2 linked regions of the Oryctolagus cuniculus genome follow. The protein of the gene in region 2 purifies or fractionates together with the protein of the main gene of each other region. This does not show direct contact. Links are inferred from orthologs where the notes say so. Each region holds a gene or a part of one and is shown on either strand. Other genes may lie near its edges.

Region 1 (8,393 bases), on a different chromosome or scaffold from region 2:
CTGGTCGCAAGCGGCCTGTGTGGCCAGCGGAAGGCCATCAGCAGACTGTGGAACTGTGGCTTAGCGAGTCTGCAGGAAGTTTGTCAAGGTCTGTCGCCAGGGCTTCCACAGAGAGGGAGAATTTTTGAATCCCTGCGGCCGCCCTGTCGAGGTGAGCTGTGTTTTCCTGCCCTTGGCAGTGTCCTCCCATTCAAAAGCGAACAGTGGCTGGTGGACGGGGGCCACTCGTAGAGAAGAATGCATCTTTTGAATCTAGACAGGTGAACCAAAGGGCCTTCCGTGGAGCCAATCCCCAAGGGGTGTACAGGTTGGGAACTGCCGGTGTGGTGTGACCATGGCTGTTTATGGCTCATAGGTCCCAGACTGCCTGGTATCCCGCACCTCCTGGCTGCTCAACTGGGGACAACGGAATGTGCCATTGAGTCGCACGTTCAATCAAGACTCACAGGCGGGTGATGAGTTCTTTGATCCCACCCTGGCCTCTCCGGGTGTGGGGCTGCTCCCGGCTCGAGGTCAGCTATGAGGGGTGCATGGTTTCTGGCTAGACCAGGCGGGTTGTCCTCAGCCCAGACCCGGGATTTTCCCTCTGGAAGGCCCCTGGATTGGCTTCAGGGCCTTTTTTCTCCCAGGTCTTATATTCATCCTCCCGGCATGAAAGAGAAGAAGGGCAGGGTCTCCAGGTAGGCTGCTCGCAGAGTCAGGGGGTCTGGCCCCATGGGCCCTGAGTTTTCTGAGGACATCCTGTCCTTGGAGAATGTCATAGGGCACCCAGGGATGTGGAGGAACTCATGATTTATTTAATGGCCACCCAGGGTACATGTCGTGCCTTGAAGAATGTTTTCTCAGTTGGGCGCTGGTCGCCCTCACGGATGAAACAAGGACCAAAAAGTCTTAGATCCATGTTGACCTCTCACCTGCACAACAAGCAGGCTCCCAGTTCTCTGCGCTGCTAATGCAGCCCCAGCCTGCCCTGACCAGCCCTGCTCTGCCCCTGCTGTTGGACATATCACTGTCTAGCAGTCCAGCTGTCAGCCTGAGCGTTCTCCCCCAGCTCAGCATCTCAAAGGACCTTTCGCGCCAGCCCAAGCTCTCCCTCTCTCTCCCCAACCCCCTTCCTGCCACTCTGTACTGTGTAAACCACTAGTCTGTAAGGGAGGGGCTTGCTCTCTGCGTGCTCCCCTCCCAGGCTTTATTCTGAGTAAACCTGCTCTGGGGGCTTCATGCTCGGGCCCCTTTTTCCTGACACCCACGACGATGACAGTCTCCTCTCCCAGTGAGTTCCCACCGAGTGTTCAGCTCCAGTGTCCGTGGTGTCCGTCACTGAATGATCTTCTGGGGGGCCAGCCAACATGATTTTTTTTTAAAAAGCTTTATTTAATTGAGAGGTAGTTACAGACAGAGGAAGAGATAGAGATCTTCCATTCACTGGTTCACTCCCCAAATGGCTGTAACGGCTGGAGCTGGGCGGATCCAAAGCCAGAAGCTTCTTCTGGGTCTCCCACGTGGCAGCAGTCCAAGCACTTGGGCCATCTTCCACTGCTTTATCAGGCCATCAGCTGGGAGCTGGACTGGAAGAGGAGCAGCAGGGATTCAAACTGGCGCCCACATGGAATGCCCCCGCACCACAGGCTTAACCCACTATACCACAGCATTGGCCTCACCAACCAACATTAAAAGAAGGACATTCAGTTGTCCAGAGCCTACCACGGGTTAGCGTCATCCTCACTAAAACCCTTTTTGAAGTTTTGAAGGGGGCTGGCACTGTGGTGCAGCAGGTTAAACCACCTCCAGCAGTGCTAGCATCCCATGTGGGTGCCAGTTCGGGTCCCGGCTGCTCCACTTCCAATCCACCTCCCTACTATTGTGCCTGGGAAGGCAGCAGAGGACAGCCCAAGTCCCTGGGCCCCTGCACCCAGCTGGGAGTCCTGGAAGAAGCTCCTTGCTTTGGCTTGGCCCAGCCCGGGTTGTTGGAGACATTTGGGGGGTGAACCAGCAGATGGAAAATTTCTGTCTGTAACTGCCTTTCAAGTGAATAAATAAATCTTAAAAACAGGAATAATACGTTTTTAAGCACGCCGTCCAGCACAGTGGCCTTAGAGTAGGACCCACCCATCTTATGACCTCCCTGTGAGCAGGGCTGCAGGACAAATGAGGGGCGGTGCCTCCAATGGGAGACCACTCAGACCTGTCCCACCACCTCCCTCACGGGAATTTAAGGGCCTCTGCGTCCTTAACTCCCTTTCCGCACCTAAGAGCCATGTGAGGAGCACCACAGAACCGCTGTTTCAGACCCACTTGAGACCCTGGCTTGCCCCGGGGGGTAAACACACTCAGACCACTAGTGCGCCCAGGAGCCGCTGTACAGTCACACATAGCGTCTAAAACATTCCCTCCCTCTGAGGGTCAGACCTAGCCTGAAATCCAATAAAGGATTTCCCGGGGCGGAAGGGGGTCCCCCGCCTGCCCGCAAGGGCCGGCCGCTCAGACTTCAGTCCCCGGGCACTCTTACCTGCTCCGACGGTCCCGGGTCTCCGGGAGCCCGCGTGGGCGGCAGCGGCCACCTTCGCCGCCGAAGGGCGGACTCTTCCGCCCTCAAAGCCTAGGGGGTGGCGCCTGGCCGCCCGGCCAGCTGTGGTCACCGCTGCCGCGTCTGGACCTGGAGCCCATGGCTCAAAGGGCCAACGCGCCCAATGGGACCGCCGAGAGACCGGAAAAACCAAGCGGCACTCGGACTTGGGGGAGGAAAGGCACACAGGGTATTACGCATGCGGACTGGACTCCCGTCCCACGTGTCGAGCCCCGATTTTCAGCTCTGCTTTGCTTTTACACATTTTTAAACCAGGAAGTTAAAAGTTACAAGGCAGTCCACGCAGCACGCAAGCATTCAGATAACTCAGGCTCGCAGCTGCGTTTCTCAAGAGCAACCTAAGCCAAACCTGGTTCGGAAACTGTTTGCTCTGGGTGCGGTCGAGCAAGCGGAGTTTAAAGTCCCTGAAGTCAGCAGCAGCCTGTCCCAGACAGAGCTGGCCAACCTAAGTGATGGGGGGAGCGGGGAACACCCCGAGAGGGCCCCGACAACGGGACTAGGGGCACACTGCTGGCCCGGAGCCGGCCGGGGCTAGGCCGCCGGGTGAGGCCCTGGGCCGGCCGGGGCGGATCCAGCGAAGCGATGCTGCCCCGGGGAGGGATGCGCGCTAGGCGGGGCGCGGCCCGGCCAGACGCTGGGGACAAAAGTGCCCCCCGGTGGGTGACCGCGGCGCTGACCACGACCGGGACGTCTCATCAAAATGCCTCCTTAATTGCTTGAAAAAAGTAAAATTAGGAGGGGAGCGGCGGTCGCCCGCACGCCGCGGGGCGAGAGACACCACCCCGGCGCGCCTGCCTCCCCACAAGGGTCCGAGGCGGTCCGGCCGGGCGCGCGCCCGCGCAGACCGGCCGCCGGCCCCAACCGCCGCACGCGCTCCCGCGCCCGGCCCGGCGCAGGCGCGGACGCACGCGCCGCCGCCGCCGCCGCCGCCCGCCGCCCCTTCCCTCCGGCGGAGGTGGGGGAGGGAGGAGTCGTTCCGTTTAACCCCGGGTTCCCCGCACTCGCTTTGCTGCGCCCAGCTTCTGGCCTGCTGACTCTTGCTCCTCTCTTTTCCTCCCTTCCTTTTCTCTGGGCTCACTCCCTCGGCCGGTACCGAAGTGTGGCTTCTAGCAAATGCGAGCGCGGAGCGAGCCCTAGCCTTAACCTCTCCCCATCACACCGGCCTCCCCCCGCCCCATCCTTTTACATAGCTTTCCATCGAACTCTGCACATTTTGCAGTAGGGGGAGGGATTTTTAAAATTGCATTTGCAAAGTTCGGTATCTGGGCAGGCAAGGCGGGGGGGGGGCAGGGAGGGAATGGGGAGCAGGCCCCGCCCCTACCGCCCTTTGCAAATAAAAATCTAGGGGGGGGGAGGAGCAGGAAGTGGCGGTGCGAGGGCTGCTGCACAGCTAGCAGAGCCGCGGTCCGGACGGCAGCGCGTGCCCCGAGCTCTCTGCCTCCCCCCGCCCGCCAGCCCGAGGCAGCCCGAGCCCAGCCCGCGGCCCCAGCAGCAGCGCCGAGAGCAGCCCCAGCAGCAGCGCCATGGCCGGGTGGAACGCCTACATCGACAACCTCATGGCGGACGGGACCTGTCAGGACGCGGCCATCGTAGGCTACAAGGACTCGCCCTCCGTCTGGGCCGCCGTCCCCGGGAAAACCTTCGTCAACATTACGGTACTGAGAGGCCTGCGCGATCCGGGGCACCGGCCGGGCGTGGATCCCGAGGCAGGGACTTGGGTGGGGGCGGGCGCGGTCTAGGGAGGGCAGCGAGAGGCCGCGACCGGCGCGAATGGCGGCTGCACGTGAACAGGTCCCTCCGTGGCCGCCCAAGTCCTACACCCCGGGCGGCGGCGACCATTGCGCCCGCCGCCCCGCTTTCCGCGACGGGGCGTTACATCCGGGGCACAGGGCGGGGAGGGGCGCGCCGCCCGGCGCGGCGGCCCACTTCCGCCTCGTCCAGGGCGGGGCGGGCACGCGCTGCAATTTTCACCAAGGATTGTGATTGAGGAGGGACTTGGGGACCCCCGCGGGCCCCCTTCCGGCCACCAGCTCGCGCCCCCCCACCATTGTTCCCCCTCATGCGGCAGGGAGCCCCCGGCGCGTGGCCTTGGTCCCATGCCCGTCCACCGTGGGCTCCCTGCCCCTCCCGACTCCGTTAGAGAGGGCGAGGCCGCCACACGCCCCCCCCCCCCCAGCTCGGCACGTTGGGCTCCACATTCCTGGGAGGCCAGTCCCGGAAGTCCCCTCGCCCGCCCTTCCCGCCATCCGGCCGGGCCTAGAGCGAGGGAACTTTGTGAGAACTTCGCAGATAGTGTGAGTGAGGGAAGGAGGGATGGCCACTGCTGGCTCCACCGCCACCTCCCTGGCCACACTGCCCGGAAGTGGGGAGGGGGAGCGGAAGTTCAGAAGGGGGGGAAGGGGATTTCCGGGCGGGAGGGGACCGGATATGGGGGTTTGGGGTGTAAAGGGGGAGGGGGAGAAAGGTTCCCTGGGGTATCTAGAACCGGGAGCCGCTTGGCGAGTCTGGCCCCCAGCCCCCTTCAGAACTTTCCCAACTTTCCCCCAGAAAGCCCCCGGGGGCTGCTCCCGGCTCGCAGGTCAGCGATACCCAGGCCTCGACTCTAGGTTCCTGGGAGACCCTGGCGTCCGGGCCCCTAACAACTCCTGCAGAACCTTTGACCAAATAAGGGCAAAGTTGCCTCTCCTGCCTCGCCCGCCCCCTCCCTTCCCCTCTCCGCTTCTGCTTTTCCTGACGGAGAGTTCTGAGCATCCAAAGGCTCCCCGCTCTGCTCGCCGCCTTCTGGCCCTTTTTATTCCCTGGGTCTGCTCTCCGCATTCAGCCACTGCGCTCTGAGCCTCCAGGGGACCGTGGCATCCCTTCCTCCTGGTCCCGGTGGCTGGGTCTGAGGGCCATCTGTCTGCACCAGCTGGAGTTCCTCCTGAGAGTCTCACTGAGGGGATGGAAGCACAGAACACCTCATCCTTTCCCCAGCCCGGGTTCCAGCTCCCACAGGGGTCGAGGGCACGTGGGCTCACAACAGGGTGGGAACCTTGGGGCACTGACTTAATGGGTGCTTGGTTCCCCCTTGCAGCCGGCTGAGGTCGGTGTCCTGGTTGGCAAAGACCGGTCAAGTTTTTTCGTGAACGGGCTGACACTTGGGGGCCAGAAATGTTCTGTGATCCGGGACTCGCTGCTACAGGACGGGGAATTCACCATGGATCTTCGCACCAAGAGCACCGGCGGAGCACCCACCTTCAACGTCACCGTCACCATGACTGCCAAGAGTGAGTGGAGTCTTACTCCTTTTAGCTCTGAGATCCTTAGCGTGCCCCCCTTCTGCTAGTCCTGTGGGTTCTTTCTCTGTGTGGTTCCCCTGCATGAAAGGGTCAGACCGGGGTTCTCCCAGTGTGCTGGGACACTGGTTAGTCCCCACCCGTTCTGCCTCAGTTCCTCATCGGATACAAAGTTGAACTGCAGTACCTCTTAGGTTCCTCCCTCTCTTGAGCTGTTCACACTAGAACCTAGAACCGTGTGTAAGAGTGTGTAGATTGTTGGTCTTCAGCCAGCATTTAGCTTTCACCTTTTGGGTTCTTTCGTTTAAAAAGTTTATGAAGTGGCAGGCTCATACACAGCCATTTGTAGCTTGAACACAGCCTGCAGCCTGAGCCTCAGACCCCTAAATTTGGGTCTGTTCCTCTCCAACATTTAAGCACACCCCCTCCCTTGAAAAGCCCTATTGTTTCAGGGTGACTGACAGCCTGCCTGTGTGTGGGGGGTTGGGAGGGTGAGGTTGGGTTACAGCCTCCAGGGCTGGACAGCTGCTGAACAGCTGGCAGGGTGGGCTGACACCTGGGTCCTGGCCTCCTTTCTCTTCTCCAGCGCTAGTCCTACTGATGGGCAAAGAAGGTGTCCATGGCGGTTTGATCAACAAGAAATGCTATGAAATGGCCTCCCACCTGCGGCGTTCCCAGTACTGACCTCGTCTGCCCCTTCCCCTCCACCGCTCCCCACAGCTTTCGCACCCCTCTCCTTCCCAAATACACACATACACCATTTTTATTTTTTGGGCCATTATCCCACATCCCTTATTGCTGCCAAAACCACATGGGCTGGGGGCCGGGGCTGGATGGACAGATACCTCCCCCTACCCATACCCCTCCTGTGTGTGATTGGAAAACATTTTTTGTTTTTTGGGGTTTTTTTTTTCTGAATAAAAAAGATTCTACTAACAAGGTGCTGTGTGATTTTGAGCATGGGTGTTAGGATGAGGGATAGGCACTGTCTTGCCTCTTTCTCTGGGCTTGGGGAGAGGGTGAAGCACCGGAACCCCAGACTGGGACGAGACTCTGCCTCAGGTCTGCCTGCCTAGCCCTTCCACGGCCTCGGTTCTCAGGCACGCTAGTGGAACTGGTGGGTGACAGAACAGAGCCGTCCAGACGGAGAATGGGTCCAAGCCTGCGGGTAAGGCAGGGCCAGTTGAGTCATCCTCATGTGGGTGGGGCTCCCCCTCTGAGTCACAGCAGATGCCTGCTGGGGCTGTCCCTATGACTACAGGTTACTCCTCCCAGGCTCCCTGCCCCCTTCACAGTTCACCTCTGCGACAATAATCTATCCTTGGTCCACAAAAACAATTTTATTAACCCAAGAAGTGAAGATCCAGTCCCCTCGCCCCTACCCCCTCAAAGGATGAGGCTGGGTAAGGGAGAAACCCGGAATGGAGAAGTCCCCTGTCCCTCAATTTAGAAGAGCAGAGGGAACAGGGCCTGTGCAAATAGGTCGCCAGAGGTTTGGGAGGGGGAAAGACTAGACCAGGATGGCGGGCAAGGAGGAAGAGGAGGAGGGAGACGGTGGGGCATCTGTTGAGGGCCCAGGAAAAATGAGGGGAGCTGGAGCTAGGGAACCAAAGGAGGTGGGCAGAGTAGGGCTGGAGCCCAGGAGCGGGGTCCGCTCTGAGGCAGGGTGATCTCTTGGCTCCCCTTCCTCATCGCCCTCCTCTTGCCCTTGAGTTTCTTCCTCCTGCTCTTCATCTCCAGGACCCCGATGCACAGGCTGCTTGCAGATGGGGCACGTCTTCCGCGTCTGAGTGAGCCAGGGGTCCACACAGCGGCTGTGATAGGCTGTAGAGGGGAAATGAGGTGAAGTGGCTGGTGCCTGCTGCCTACGGGCTGACCATGTGGACACGGGCAGTGATGGCCTTACCATGAGCACAGGGGAGTACCCGCAGCTTGTCCCCGTCCTCATATTCATCCAAACAGATGGCACACACATCATACTGGTCTCCTGGAGGGAGAGAGACCTAGTGCTGAACAGTGATTCTGAACCGTGGCTCACAAGAACACACGCTGGGGGGTCTGGCAGAGCTGAGCCCCGAGCAGGCAGGGGGAGGCCAGTCGGGGTTAGAGAGGACAAGCAGAGAAGCAGAGGTAAGGGAAGTGGGTTTGAGGGAGGAGGTGGGGGGGGGGTAGGAGGAGCGGAAATGGGGCCGGGCTTCTGTTATGGCCTTATATGGGCACTGGAGGCTCCAGGGCCAGGAGACCCGGCCTCTCCTTACCTGGTTCTTCGTTCCCTGACTGCATCTTCTCCACTCCCATATTTCTGCCCTCTGCACCTCCTCCCTCATAAGCAAAGTCCATTCCTGCATTATCTCCCCAGCTGCCTCACTCCAGCACCTTTTCGTCCCATCTCCCGTCCCCACTGATTTTCTGGGTAAAGAGAAAGGTGGCACCTCCAGTTGAGGCCCTCTCACTGCCATCTTTTTCACTCCTCATCGCCCACGTCAAACTCAGAACCAGGTAAGCTCTGAAAATGGCTCTCCTCTCCCCTC
Region 2 (7,629 bases):
ATGTGAATTCCCTCTTCCCTTCCCCCTTACTGTGGGGTTAATGGTACATCCCCAGCAGAGGAACCAGCCCCAAGGGGATGGCAGAGGGGAAGGACCAAAGGGAGCAAAGGGTGGGGGCCTCCCCAGCCAATCAGCAGCCAGTACGGGTGTGGGCACGGTGCAGGGAAGCCACACCCCCTTGGAATCTTCCAAGTGGGAGGGGGCAGGGGGAGATGCATTCCCGTGTAGTCTTCAGCCAATTCCACGTGGAGTCGAGGCAGGGAAGCAGGGTAACAGGCGGGGTGTGCGGAAAGAAGTGGGCCCCTGCGGTCAGGGGGAGCCCCGCTTCCTCAGCTCCTGGACAAAGGCTGGAAGGAAAGAGGGGGCAAAGCTCAGGGCAGGGGCTCTTTCCCCTTCCGTTCCAATCTTCCCAAAAGACAGGCGGCCTCCAAACCACACAGGCGCCTCACGGGGCGGGGCGCGGGCAGGCGCCTCACCTTCGATGATCTCCTCTTTCACCTTCCGCAGCTCCTTCCTCACCTCCTCCAGCAGCTCCTGGAACCACAGGGTTCACCAGTGGGCGGGGCCCGGAGCGGCAGGAAGCCCCCTGTCTCCCACTCGCTGAGAGTCGGAGGAAGCGGGCTGGAGACCGCCCGGCCCCGCCCTCCCTGCCAAGGTCACAGAGAGAACTGGAGGGCATCCAGGACACAGGCTGGCAAACGCCTCCCAGCCTCCTGCCAGCTCCGGCGGGGTCTCAGGTGCTCATCGGAAAGGAGTGTGGTGATGGATTATAAGGCCTGTCACAGCCGTTGAAAGGGGTGCGGCACCTGCGTCATCCCTGACCCCGCCGATGGCTCCCCCTTCTCAGACCGGACACCCAGGGTCTGGACCCAGCGCCCCTCCTGCCGTGGGCCCTGGCTAGGCCCCCACCTGCACCTTCCACCCCTACCTGTTTCACCCGCTCCAGGTCCGAGTCGTCACCGGAGCTGTGGTGGGAGGGGTGGGCCTCGGGGGTGGCCACCGAAGACGAGGACTTCATCCTGGGGGGGACAGAAGCGAAGTCAGAGGCCCTGCCACCCGCGGAGGCGCCGCGCCCGCCGCGCCCCCCGCGCCCGCTGCGCCCGCCGCGCCCGCCGGCCCACCTGGGCAAGGTCGTGCTGTTCTTCTCCCAGGGCCTCCGCACAGATTCTGGGGAGCAGGCAACAAACCGCAAGGTCAGGGCAAAGGATTCCTCCCCCAGCCAGCAGCCCCTCTGCAGAGAAACCCCCAGGAGAGGCCCGCCCCTCCCCCGGGCCGCCCGGCACTCACCGCTGTGGACCGGGACGCGGGCCTCTGGCTCCTCCTGCTGGCAGGAAATGAAACCGTCATGAGCAGCCCCGCCACGCTGCCCCGGGACCCCACCGAGCCCCTCACTCACACTGGCAGATTCGTCCTTGGGGGGCTTCTCGCCAACCTGCGAGGCTTTCCTCCTGCGGGAGGGAGGGACGAGAAGAGAAGCCTCAGCCCCCCCACTCGCAGCTGCGGGCCCAGGGTTCTAGAAAGTGGCCCTTGTGTGTGGGGGGGGGGGGGGCTGCACGGCCAAGGCTAAGGAAGCTGGGATGGGGGGGGGTCTTCCTGTGGCCCTCACATCTGGAACCCTAACGTCCTAAGGGGGGAAGGGACTCTGGGAACTAAAATCCTAGGAGTCAGTTTCTAGAACATTCCGCAGGCGCCACAGGTAGGGCTTTCAGCACAAGCAGCAAACAGGAACCAGAGCCCGCCCCCCGCCCCCGCCCCCCCGCCAGCCTGCAGGGCTGGGGTCCCAGGCAGGGGGGTGGGCCCAGGCTCACCTCCGGGCCAACATGGCGTTCATCTCCTCCATGAGCCCCCCGCCTGTGCTCCGGCCACTCTCAGCTTTGGGGCCCGGGGGCCCCCCTGAGACTTCCTCTTGCTGAGGACGGTAAAAGGGAGCAGAGGGCTTGCGGGTGGGCCTCCCGTGACAGGCAGCCCCCAGCCCATTGTTACCTCAGGGCCAGCCCCCCCCCCCCCCCCCGCGGGCCCCTCACCTTGCTGACTTTCCTGAGTTTGGCTCCAGCAATGGCTGCGGCCAGGCCGGGGGCTCCAGTCCCCCCACCACTGGGGCCCTGGGCTGTGGGGAGAGGGGGTGCAGGGGGTGGGCCCCCCCCTGCCGGGGGCAGCCCTGGGGGTGGGGGGGGACCCGGCGGAGGGGGCGGTCCTGGAGGCGGGGGTGGGCCCCCGGCTGGGGGAGCAGGCGGGCCTCCTGAAACAAGGCAGAGCAGGGGTGGCTCAGAGAGGAGCCAGCCCCTCCTCCAGGGGGGGCTCTGGGCTCGGCCCGCCCCCCACCCCCGCAAGCCCAGTTACCTGCGTTGCACACGCGGCGCTCCATCTGCTCCGGCTGCTGCCTGTGGGGGGGACTGCGGTCACCACCGCCCCGGCCCCTCCGCAGGGCCCAAGGGGTGGCGCGGGAATGTTCTAGACTGTCACCGACACCCGGGGTCCTCTCAGGACGAGGGTTTGGGGACTGGGGGTCCTGCGTCTCTGAGCGCCAGGGATTTTCTTAAAGTCTCAGAGGTGGGGGCTCCCAAAAGCGGGCAACTCCTAGTCCCTGGGGAGTTGGAACATTCTGGAAACTGGACGTCGGAGGATGCTGGGACATCTAGAATCTGGCAGTAAGGGCCCCCAGCCAAGGGGCCAGCCCTACCTTTTGTGCTGCTCCACCTCTTCCGGGGAGGGGCCGTTCTGGCTGGCCCACGCGGCAGGTGCTGGGGGCGGCGGAGGCCCACCTCCTGGGGGTGGCAGGGGAGACAGAGCCGGGGTCAGCCTTGCCTGTGGCCTCCCCCACCCGGCTCAGGAATCCCACCCAGGGGCACTCACTTCCTTCCTCCCCCAGACCCTGGGCAGGGGCGACACCACTCCCCCTGCCAGGGCGGCCAGGACGCCCGGGGACAGTGGGGAAGCCGAGTCCAGGTGGACCCCTCCCCCTTGCCTCCCTCGGTCCTGCCCAGCCCCGGGTGGCCAGGGGGCCCGGAGTCGCAACCACCTCTGTGTGTGGGCAGTTTCGGTTCCACAGTGGCTATGCCACACCCCAGAGGCAGGGCGGGCAGCGGAGGTCAGCGGCTGACCTCAGGTCCAGGGCTGGCAGCCCTGGCATCGCAGGGGGCTGTGAGCTGTGCAGTCTCGGGCCCCACCCACATTCCCCAGGTGAGCCCTGGGAGAGCAGGCCTGGAGGCTTTCCTGACGCCGGGGCTGGTGACAGAAGCCAGCACGGGCTGCGGGGGCTCCTGGGGGCTGGGACCAGGCTGCGTCCTCCGGAGTCCACACAGGAGCCCTGTGATGTCCCACAGTAGCGACCGAGCGGCTCCATTTTCGAGATGGGTAACCCGAGGCCCCAGCCGGCGGCCGGCACCCACCTTCCAAGGCCTCTAGGGCCTCGGCCATGCCGGCGGCGAACTGCGCCGCGTCCTCCTTGCTGCCAAAGTTGAGGCCCCAGACCTGGCGGGCGTCGCGCCACTGGTGGAAGTTGGGGGTGGCCTGATTGTACTTGATGCCCCGGACGATGGCACAGTTGATGACCACCTGGAGGCAGGGAAAGCGGGGTGAGGGCGGTGGCCCAGGGGGCGGCCCCAGTGTGTGGGGGGGATCGGGGGGGACGCGCACCTGCTGGTCCGGCTGCATCTTGCGGCCCACGACCCGGAAGGAATTGGCCGTGGGGTTGTGGTAGATCTGCACGCGGCTGAAGGCCTGGGGCCCCGTGCCCGCGGGGAGCCATTGCTTGTTGCTGTCATCGTAAAGCATCACCTTGGCCCGGCTGGTGCACACGACCATCTCACTGCGGGAGGCGCAGGGGAGGCGGGGTCACCCTCGCCACCAGGGGCAGGGGAGGCGGGGTCACCCTCACCACCAGGGGCAGGGGAGGCGGGGTCACCCTCGCCACCAGGGGCAGGGGAGGCGGGGTCACCCTCGCCACCAGGGGCAGGGGAGGCGGGGTCACCCTCGCCACCAGGGGCAGGGGAGGCGGGGTCACCCTCGCCACCAGGGTCTCCCTGGGAGACGCTGCGAGGGGGAGAGGGCGTGACACAGCCCCCCCCCCCAGGAGACCCAGGCAGAGAAGATGCTGGACGGGGGGCAGCTGAGACCAGTGCGCCCTGGGGGGTGTGAGATGGATGGGGAGAAACAGGAAGAGGAGACATGGAGACGCAGGGGAGGGAGGAAGGTGCCCTGAGCTGCTCTGGGGCCAGCCCTACCTCAGTTTCCCTCTCTGCCAAGTTTTGGATGCCCCCCCTGCTGCTCAGAGCAGAAGAGGAAGCTGAGGTCGGGGAGGGGGAGGGGAGGCCTGTGGCCGGCCGGGGACAGCACAGACCCCTGCTCTCCACTGCAAGGGGGTGCCGGGCCCCCACTGCATCCTTCCGGCTCCCCTGGGCACTACGGGCCTGTGTTGGGTGCCACTGGGGACAATGACACAGCAGTGGCCCAGATGGCCCTGGCCACACCCTCCCAGGGCTCACAGTCCAGTGCCTCAAGACACGGGTCCCTAGGCCGTGATGCCCAGGGCTTGGACCAAGGAGCCGCCCAGGCTACAGGCATGGAGGACGCGGGGCCTGCTGCCCACTCTGCAGGAGGGGGTCAGAGTTCCAGTCTGCCGTCCGCAGGCGTGGATTCAAGTCCCTGCAGAGCCCCGAGGCCGGAGCCTGCACACGGGAAATGAGGGCTGGGTGCCCGGTCGGCCTCGGCTTCCGTGCTGCGGTCACCCTGTGGCCGGCCGGGGACCTCCCACCGTTCCTGGGAGGTCGGAGCCCCCCTCCCCCAATGAGGAACCCCAGGCTCCCCCAGGGGAAGTGACTCGCCCAAGGTCGCACAGCCCAGGGGGAAGCGCCGGCCTCGGCTGGGTGCCCCCCACCGTGGGTTTTTCCTGAAAAGAGGAAGTTGGCGGCTGGGGGGGCGGGGAATGACACCCACAGAGGCTCTGTCTCCACCGGGCGGGTGCTGGGGTGTGACACTGACCACTGACACGGCCCAGCCTGGCACCCTCACGGCAGTCCTGGGGCGGACATGACCTCCCCCTCGGCTCAGAGGCGACCAGGGCCGGGATGCGCCCCCGCACACACTGCTAAAGCAGCGGCAGGGGCAGGATTCGAACCCAGGTCCGCAGTCTTGCCCCCCGGGGACTGCGCCGGCCCTGCCCAAACACCAGGTGCAAGCCAGAGAAGCAGGCCTCCAGGGCTGTTTCTGGTTCCCACTGCCCCCGGCAGGGCAGGTAGGGCTAAGGCCGCGCCCACACCTGCCACCCACACCCAGGGCAGGCTCTGGCCCGGCGCCCGGGGCCACTGCCCCACCCTGGCTGTACTTTGGGCTCCCAGCTGGCCCTGCCCTGCTGAGGCTCTGGCCTGGCCTCGGGGCCAGGCACCTGCTGGGCGACCCTGGGCGGCTCCGACTCCTGCCCCGTGAGAGCACAGGGATCCGGCTGAGACCCAGAGGAGGGGCAGCACCATGCCCCACTCTGCAGGATCCACACCAGGTTCCTGCCGGCCTGGGTGCCCTGCCTGCTCTCCAGTCTCCTCTCCCAGCGCCCACTGACCAAGGCCTGCCCGAGCCCTGTGCAGGTGCAGCCCCCTTCAGACGTCACCTCTTCCCAGAAGCCCTCCCTGGCCACCTCATCTTCCTCCGGCTTCCCCGCGACACGGTTTCCAGCAGCGTCCCTGCTTGGCACGCGCCTGTCTGCCTTGCCAAAGCACCAGGTCCAGCGGGGCAGGGATACTCGCCCCTCTGCGCACCACTGCGTCCCCGGAACCTGGAGGGCGCCTAGCACACGCTCTGAACACATCCGAGTAAAAAGGCAAACCCGGCGGCACAGTGGCTGGCGGCCCAGACCGCGCTCCCGGCTCCCACGACCCCACAGCCTCAGGAGACCAACCCCGCTGCCTGCCCGGGCACAGAGAGGTGAAGACACTTGGCCCAGGTCACACTGCACGAAAGCACCGGGGCTCCTGTCTGATCTCATTTAAGACGCGAGCCCACTTACTCCAAGCCCACTTACGTTTTAACCTCACGGAAAGATGAGGAAAAGGCTGGGTGGCTCAAGAGTCTGTCTTTCCCCCAAAAGTGTGGAGGCTGCTAACAGCGTCACACGCTGTGGCGGGAGGCGGAGGCAGGCTGGGGGCTGGGGGCCGTGGGCACGGGGCCCTCGCTTCACTCTTCCTTTTGCTAAATGATGGGGCTGGGATGACCTGTGGAGACCTAATTCCTTACTTGATTACGTTTGGGAAAAAATAAATAAACTCAGCAAAAGCCGGACGGGAAACCCCACAGGCAGGAAGCCAGGGAGAGGGACGCCAGTGGTCCCCTGGGGTCTGTCAGTGAGCGCCTCGGTCCCCCTGCCCATGAGTCGCCTCTGGGGGTCACCCGCTCAGACACCACAATCACACAAATTCTTCCAGGCCAGAGCCCTGCGACCCGGAGCCCCGGCCCCGGCCCAGCCCCCCAGCCCGGGGGTCTCTGGGGGTTGTGCGGCCTGTCTCCCACTGGGAAGTCGGCAGGCGAGGCTTCCCAGGCAGGCCCCCACCACACCTCTGGACCATCCCGCGTGTCTGTGCAAGGAAAACGCGTCATCCGCACTTTCTCTGTACTGTCCTCTCTCTGCGACAGCCTAAGAGGTCGGCCGGCTGCAAACTGGGGGCAGGGGTGACTACAAGGCTGTAACAGCTTCCGCCTCTTGAAACTGTGCCAGGACGCCGGCTCGGAGCCGGGACAGGCTGGCCACACCGGGCAGGTGCTCACCAGCTGGTCTCCCGTCGCCTCTCGAGTAAGAGCAGTTATAGCTGCTACCCCGCTAAGGCATAGCCCCTCTTCCCAGCGGCTCCCGCCCCTTCTCCACCTCCCCCAGGATCCCAGCGCCGGGTCCCACTCAACAAATATTTGTCAGAGGAGAGAAAGAACTGGTCTTGTGATTTTCCATCCCTTCCAGCTGAGCTGCCCCCGGCCAAGCCGTGGCCAGCAATCCGACCCTCCCAGCCTCCTGCCCCGGGGCGCCCTGGCCTGGGAATTTCTGCAGGATCCGGCTCCTTGGCCGGGATTGGGGGCGTGGACCGTCGGAGAGGAAGTCGGCTGTAAGCGAGCAGGGGAGACCCTCTGGTGGGACAGGCCAGGGTCGGACTCCTGCCATCCCCCAGGAGGTAGGAGGCCCCACCACGGCCACAGCCACAGCGGGAGGGGGCCCTGGGAGAGGGCCAGGGCTGGGGGTGGCGGGGGCAGGGGGCTGGGCCAGACACTGCTCCTGCCCTTTTACGGTCGGTCTCACAGCGAGCGGGGCGGCCCTACCTCGGACATCCGCCATCCGCCTTCCACGGGGCCTGGGACCGGAAACGCTGGGGGGGAGGGGCGGAGTCCCGGGGGAGGGGGGAGAGGGTGAGGGAAGCAGGCAGCCCCTGGGGCAGGCCCAGAAGGGATGTTGCCCCGCAATGGGGAAGGAACCGGCAGGAAGTCCCCAGGGTGTCTGGGGATGCCCCCTCGCCCCAGAATTTCCACCCAGCCTTTAGCAGAAAGACAGCCCTGGGGCGGGTGGTAGGGGGTCTTTAATGGTCCCAAGAAAGGAATGCCACCCTGAGGTCAGAGGGCAGGGGTGTGGGGGCCCGGGGGGAAGGGCAGGACGTTGGG

Evidence for each region.
Region 1: the proteins of VASP (region 2) and PFN1 purify together in Homo sapiens (affinity purification with western blotting; 3 studies listed by BioGRID and IntAct, with this or other methods). This does not show direct contact. The link is inferred for Oryctolagus cuniculus from reciprocal best matches to the Homo sapiens genes VASP and PFN1.

Annotation. Positions count from the first base shown.
Region 1 is NC_091448.1:51,292,226-51,300,618, forward strand, and holds PFN1 (profilin-1), read left to right. Parts: upstream 1-3,255; 5' UTR 3,256-4,110; coding exon 4,111-4,242; intron 4,243-5,660; coding exon 5,661-5,853; intron 5,854-6,448; coding exon 6,449-6,546; 3' UTR 6,547-6,801; downstream 6,802-8,393. Other genes in the region: E3 ubiquitin-protein ligase RNF167, read right to left, coding at 7,373-7,686, 7,769-7,849. UniProt on the Homo sapiens protein: Binds to actin and affects the structure of the cytoskeleton. At high concentrations, profilin prevents the polymerization of actin, whereas it enhances it at low concentrations. By binding to PIP2, it inhibits the formation of IP3 and DG.
Region 2 is NC_091449.1:11,378,315-11,385,943, forward strand, and holds part of VASP (vasodilator-stimulated phosphoprotein), read right to left. Parts: intron 7,466-7,629; exon of another isoform or gene 7,294-7,465; intron 3,809-7,293; coding exon 3,637-3,808; intron 3,556-3,636; coding exon 3,390-3,555; intron 2,766-3,389; coding exon 2,681-2,765; intron 2,382-2,680; coding exon 2,341-2,381; intron 2,240-2,340; coding exon 2,025-2,239; intron 1,910-2,024; coding exon 1,809-1,909; intron 1,449-1,808; coding exon 1,397-1,448; intron 1,325-1,396; coding exon 1,288-1,324; intron 1,168-1,287; coding exon 1,122-1,167; intron 1,020-1,121; coding exon 929-1,019; intron 535-928; coding exon 477-534; intron 348-476; coding exon 310-347; 3' UTR 1-309. UniProt on the Homo sapiens protein: Ena/VASP proteins are actin-associated proteins involved in a range of processes dependent on cytoskeleton remodeling and cell polarity such as axon guidance, lamellipodial and filopodial dynamics, platelet activation and cell migration.